2 linked regions of the Yarrowia lipolytica genome follow. The protein of the gene in region 2 binds, or shares a complex with, the protein of the main gene of each other region. Links are inferred from orthologs where the notes say so. Each region holds a gene or a part of one and is shown on either strand. Other genes may lie near its edges.

What was found.
Region 1: YALI1_B19044g (region 2) and YALI1_D35768g share a complex: the UniProt entries of both Saccharomyces cerevisiae proteins name them as parts of the GIN4 complex. The link is inferred for Yarrowia lipolytica from reciprocal best matches to the Saccharomyces cerevisiae genes NAP1 and CDC12.

Annotation. Positions count from the first base shown.
Region 1 is NC_090773.1:3,575,173-3,578,667, reverse strand, and holds YALI1_D35768g (uncharacterized protein), read left to right. Parts: upstream 1-1,742; coding exon 1,743-1,804; intron 1,805-1,911; coding exon 1,912-2,995; downstream 2,996-3,495. Other genes in the region: YALI1_D35787g (uncharacterized protein), read right to left, coding at 1-10. UniProt on the Saccharomyces cerevisiae protein: Septins are GTPases involved in cytokinesis that assemble early in the cell cycle as a patch at the incipient bud site and form a ring approximate 15 minutes before bud emergence, which transforms into an hour-glass shaped collar of cortical filaments that spans both sides of the mother-bud neck.
Region 2 is NC_090771.1:1,902,642-1,906,028, reverse strand, and holds YALI1_B19044g (uncharacterized protein), read left to right. Parts: upstream 1-1,557; coding exon 1,558-2,829; downstream 2,830-3,387. UniProt on the Saccharomyces cerevisiae protein: Acidic protein, which assembles histones into an octamer (in vitro). Involved in the regulation of the localization and the function of the septins during mitosis. Involved in the function of B-type cyclins.

The DNA of each region.
Region 1 (3,495 bases), on a different chromosome or scaffold from region 2:
AGGTTAACATGGAAAATATCCTGAATACCGTGAATAGTGGTTGAAGAAGAGACAAATGTTGGACAGCCTCCTATCCCACGACCCAAATTTACATGTTGTACTAGTTCCATTAGTCACACAATGACTCACTAAAACAGACAGTGGGTAGGGCCATTTAGGTTCACTCGTGAACACACAATAGTCAAGCTCCGAATTATGGCGAGGCCACCATTGAGGTAAAAAATTGCCTTTAATAAACGAGGTGTTATGACGTACGAGTACCTGTAAGAACAGATGAATTCAGATGACTTTTTGTTCTAGGATCTAAAGCAGCTTTCTTAGCCAAATGCCACACACTAATGTTCATGTAAGGTCCTTGGGGGTCCCCTTACACCGCAGTGTGCCACGAACGAGTGTGCTCGCTCCTTTATCAACACATGGTTGGGTTTCATCTTGATCTATAGGTCCGAGTTAAAAAAACGCGATCTATGTCACAGGCACAAATAAATGAAGCGATACAAGGTCATCTCTTATACTGTAGCGACAGTGAGCACGACCGCTCTCACAACATGCAGTGCAGCTCTAGACCACTAATGCAACTTGTACCTGCCACCGTTCCTCTACTGTAAGAATAACGCCGTACAGCATCTGTTAGCTCTGAATGTACTGTAGGGAGCGGGCTAGAGTTGGGGTCCTTTGAATGAGAGGGAGGAAGGAGAGTATATCTGCACAACTTGAGTGTCTCATACTATCTTAGGCGGATACGAGGTGACACATTTTACAGTATGCACGACTCTAAGGGCTGTTTTGACTCGTCGTGGAAGTATCAATGCATGGACCTGGGGTAACAACTAGAGCAACCAAGTCCGGCTATGAGCAACTACTGTACACAGAGAGAGGGACAATCTGCTATACCTGACCGCTATACCTGACCAAGTGCAGTAAGTATCGTACAGTATGTACAAGTATTGGCACTTACATGTCCCAATTTGCAACAGAACCCTTATCAGCTGCACACTTCAATGGCACCAAGCTTGACTACAATTATAATTGAAAACGTACGAACCGTGGTAGGTGTACCTGTAGTTCGCCCGACAAGTGGATGGATTCAGTCCAAAATAACAGCCAATCGGATATTACCGCTGGTGACACTCTCAGACACATGTCTATGATGGTCATTGTTAGCACCGAAAAATTCTTCACTCACAATTCAACAATAGCCACCTTCTATGATAAACCGTTTGACTATGGGGTTGTGTCAGGCAGGTTACAGGACACATTAGAGCAGCGAGACAGCCTCGTATTTCGTATTTTCGCGGACCCGACAAGACAGAAATAGCTGTTCGAAACACGTTAGATCTAATTTCTTTTCAAATTATAAGTACTCGTACGGCATTCATACCAATTCCATGCTGGGAACGCTCACTGCCGGCTCTAAAGTTTCCCAACCCAAGACACGTTGTTTTGGAACAGGACGCGTTGTATCCACGTGACGGCGGTTGCCTGGCAGCACGCGTTCAATGTAAATGTGGTTACGAATGCCTAACACGGCAGGTCGAGTGGGACGACGTAGGGTAATAATTCTCGAGAATACACCGCTACATATTTGTTGGTCACATTACAATCTGTCTAATTAGAAATTATGACGTGTAGTCGAATTGTTGATTTCCCCCCTATTTCTCGGCCGGGTAACCTACGCTAACCTCCACGTCTGCACCTCCTAGGATTCTCGCATCCTAATCACGACATTATACCTATCAATCATGGCGACCACAGCACAGGCTGCTATTCAGAGCATTGGCGTGGCCAATCTGCCAAACCAGCGGTGAGTATGGAGAAGTGTGAACCGGTTATGGGCTCAGAAACACGGATACACTGGTTATGAGCTATCACTCGTCCTACGTGGAGACATTGTATACACCACTAACACAGACACAAGATTGTGGCCAAGAGTGGAGCTACCTTCACCCTTATGGTGGCTGGCGAGTCTGGTCTCGGAAAGACCACCTTCGTTAACACCCTCTTCTCCACATCCATCAAGAGCTACACAGACAACAAGACGCGGTTCAAGCGACCCATCAAGAAGACGGTGGAGATCGACGTGACCAAGGCCGAGCTGGAGGAGCGAGGATTCCGAGTGCGACTCAACGTGATCGACACTCCCGGATTCGGTGACAATGTCAACAACCTAGACTCTTGGCAGCCCATTGTTGAATTTCTGGACGACCAGCATGAATCTTTCATGCGTCAGGAACAGCAACCAAACCGTGTCGGCAAGATTGACATGCGAGTCCACGCGTGTATCTACTTTATTCGACCCACTGGCCACGGACTCAAGCCCCTGGACATTGAGGCCATGAAGAAGCTGTCTTCTCGAGTGAACTTGATCCCCGTCATCGCCAAGGCTGACACACTGTCGCGCAAGGAGCTGGCTATCTTCAAGCAGCGAGTTCGAGACACCATCATCGCGCAAAACATTCGAATCTACCAGCCCTCAGTGGATGAGGAGGACCAGCGAGCTGCTGAGCACGCCAAGTCGCTTATTGACGCCATGCCCTACTCCATCATTGCCTCTGAGAAGGACGTGGAGACCCCTGATGGTCGAGTGGTCAAGGGCCGACAATACCTGTGGGGAGTTGCCGAGGTGGAGAACGAGGACCACTGTGACTTTGAGAAGTTGCGATACCTCCTGATCCGAACCCACATGCTGGACCTCACAGCCTCCACTGAGGAGCTGCACTACGAGTCGTACCGAACCCAACAGATGGAGACCAGAAAGTTTGGCGAGGCCCGGCCGCGAAAATTCGACAACCCTAAGTTCAAGGAGGAGGAGGACGCTCTTCGAAAGATGTTCACTGAGCAGGTAAAGCTGGAGGAGCAGCGATTCCGACAGTGGGAGCAAAATCTCATTGCCGAGCGAGATCGACTCAACAAGGACCTCGAGCAGACCCATGCTAGCATCAGAGCCCTGGAGCAGGAGGTCGAGCAGTTGACTATGAAGGCTGGTAAGCGATAAATCTGATTTTGTTATTTATGGTTCCTCTTGCTAATCTAGGATGTTGGTAATTTTGTAATGTATAATGGAGTGAACGTGGACGACGTTGAGCGTGACGAACGCGTAAGGAATCGACACGACTGTGCCACAGGTGAACGACTAACAATATCCGGGGATTATGGAACGCGTTTTAACAGCTCCCTTCGCTGACCCTGGCGTATCTTGATGCTGTGATGATGTATGTTAATGTATTACTAATCAGAAGGATGTATATTACGACCATATGTACTGTACCATACGAGAACAAGTGCAATACCATTGAGTCAGATCTGTACACGTTTCTCCATCTTCTGGTATGTATACGACTAGAAAATTGTGAAGGACGCAATGCTCAGTTGTGTGCCCTGGTCTAAGCTCGGTGAGCCAGACACAGGTTTGAAGACTTGGGCCCAATGTGCTCTTCGGGTTGTGGCCAGGAGGATAAGCATGGTCGGAGATACTTGAAAAACGTGAACGACTTT
Region 2 (3,387 bases):
CTGAGCAATGGAAGAAGCGGGGAAACGGAAGATAGCAATCATACCTTAACGGTGATGAGTCGTGTCTCATGGGAGCATTGTGGGTTATTTGGAACAAGACCTACAGTAATTACAAGCACTTGTACTGGACAATATGATAGTATCGTATCGTAGTGTGATCGTTATGGAAAGTATAAGAGATAGTCCTACAAGTAGTTAGCTTATCACGTGCATATTAACAGATTGTCGTCACACTGGCCAATGTTCTGCCACGATGGCACTTGACGACCACTGTTGTGTTTCTGTCACTCCACAGCACGTGTTGAGTCAATTGGGGTTGGGACCTGGAGGCTTGGTTTCGAATATGCGTGGATCCGTTGGGTCCGAGTTTATGCCATGGGTTTATGGCCATCAAAGATAGATGGGAGTCGGCATTGTCTGCAATCGTCGGAGGTAAGCATGACTCATGATGAGTCACGGTAGCGAGGTGGCAAATTGAGACCGTATCTCTTGATTCTACTCGTACTTGTAGCTTCCTGGTTGATGTCTACGATCACTTCTACTGCATCGTGGCTTCGCGGGATGGGGTAATCTGTCACCCACAGCGTACCCCAGTTTAGGACATGCAACCGTTAAAAGAGTACCAACGTAAAAACAAGTGCTTGTGTGAGTAATACGTGAATTGTCCTGCAAACAACATTTTGACAACTGTGACGTATGCAACTACCCACAAGAGAGTCTACACACACAATTGATTTCAGTCGGTCGTCAACAATCTACGTCGTATCGCCACTACTGTACACACTACTGTACCCCTTCCTTCCCTGTGGTGCCGCGGATTTCATTTTGAGATTAACCCTTGGTCTGCTTGCCAAGGTTGGGGACAGCAGCCAAAGAAGAGGACAGTGGCGAAAAAAGACGCCGCACCGCACGGTTGAAGATGGACTTCGAAGAGAGAATTGAAAAAAAAATGTAATGTACGCACAGGTCAGGCACCAAACAAGGCAGGACCAGCAGCAGGAGGAAGGCTTTGTACTGGCAGAGTGCAGGCACACTTGTCTCCGAAACAGCAGGCAGTCAAGTTCTAGAAACTACCCCTAATATTAGGTGCATTGTCACAGCTACCCCAGAAACCTGAATAATCAATAACCACGACGTCCGAATAACGTGCTCTGGAGATTGGTGTGAGTCTGTCGTCAGGTGCTGGACGTTGTGTGCACAGGGGTGAATGAGGATACATATGGGCGCGCAGGTATCGTAGAAAAGAACACACGTACGTATGACCAGTCAGACGCTCAATTCTCAATTCAGTAGGTCAATGGGGAAGAGACTGTAGAAGTACAGGTTATTAATCAGGATACATGCCATGCTTTTCGTCTTTTTAACCGATTGCTGTTTGTCCTCCTCCATCTCCTCTCCCGCACCTGTTTAGCTCTACCCTGCCTTTTAGCCAAATAAACTCCAATTGGGATACTTGTTCCAACAGACCACCCGCAGCTGCTTTAGATTTTTTCCACACACCCACCAGTCTGCACACAGACACATACCTCACCACACACCTAGTGCACTCAAATAATCATGAGCGAACCCATCAAGTCCAAGCGAATCGAGCAGCTGTCCAGCATTGCCCCCACCCCTCAGAACACCCCGGCCTCCAACGCCTCATCTTTCCTCCAGCGAGCCGCCAACCCTGGAGTGTCTACAATTGCTGAGGATGGTCAGGGGGAGGTCGACCTCGGAGCTCTGAGCCGAGACCCCGCTCTGCTGTCCCATCTTGCCGGTCGACTCAACCAGATGGCCGGTACTTCTTCGGGCTACGTCGATTCTCTGCCTCTGGCTGTGCGACGACGAATCGATGGTCTCAAGGCCCTGCACCAGCAGGCCTCCGTGGTGGAGGACGAGTTCCACAAGGAGATGCTGGAACTGGAGCGAAAGTTCCAGGCCAAGTTTGCCCCCATCTACGCCGAACGAGCCGCCGTCATTGGTGGCGAGAAGGAGGTATCTGAGGAGCAGGTTGAGGCCGGTAAGAAATACGAACAGGAGCGAATGGAGCGAATGTTTGGTGTCGACGGAGACGATGTTGAGGAGGATGAGGACGAGGAGGACGAGGATGCAAAGGACGAAGAAGAGGAGAAGGAGGGTGATGATAAGTCCGATGCCAAGGGTATTCCCTACTTCTGGCTCACCGCCATCCAGAACCTGCCCGGTGCCTCCGGTCTCATTTCCGAGCGAGATAGCGAGGCTCTCAAGTCGCTCATGAATGTGCGAATGGAGTATCTCGACGACAAGCCTGGCTTTGTGCTCATCTTTGACTTCGCCGAGAACGAGTTCTTCACCAACAAGCAGCTCAAGAAGTCGTATTTCTACCTCGACAAGGTGTCTGACACCGGTGAGCTCATGTACGACCACGCCGAGGGTGAAGAGATCGACTGGAAGTCGCCTGAGCAGAACCTGACCATGGAGATCACCAAGCGAAAGCAGCGAAACAAGCACACCAAGGCCACCCGAATCGTGGAGAAGGCCGTCCCCACTGAGTCTTTCTTCACCTTCTTCAGCCCGCCCAAGGCCCTGGATGAGGAGGAAGAGGACGAGGACGAGGAGGTTGACCATGAGGAGCGAGACAATGCTCTGCAGCTTGACTACCAGATTGGTGAGGAAATCAAGGAGCAGCTCATTCCCCGAGCCGTCGACTGGTTCACCGGATTTGCTCTGGAGATGGAGATGGAGCATGGTGACATGGGCGAGTTTGAGGATGAGGACGACGATGAGGATGAGGATGATGACGACGATGATGATGAGGACGACGAGGAGGGAGGCAAGAAGGAGGCCCAGGAGTGCAAACAATCTTAAGGAGTAACATACTAAATAAGACGCGTGGTTACACGCATGATATAGTGTTGATTATATGAAAATATTTTGAGGACGATACATGACTATGTACCGTATGGGCAATACAAGTAGCTCAGACAGTACGTACTGGTTGTAGCTCGAAGGCATAATTGTCCAAGTAGCTCGAAGGTAACATTTAACAGTTGCTACAGCGGGACCGGAGACCGCGAGTAGTATGGCGCTCTAACGACTGTACAGTATTTATTGAACGAAATGTAGCTGTAATATTATGCATTTGAGGAGTTCCCGGCTACGAGTACTGGTACAAGTAGCTACTTTTTGAACTTGTATAACGGTGCAGTAGCTACGATACTGTATTGTACACAATGGCACCAATTTCCCACATTGGCTTTGTAATAATGAAGGCCTTTTCAAATTGGTGGGGGCAAATGCAAGCGAATATAACTGCAACCAATGGCTTGGCTACGTGCTTTTTATTCAAGTGGGGATAGATAGCGGTGGTTTTCTTGTATTATTATTTTTTGGTCACCGTTACTTTTAGTTTTGTTGTCCAAATAT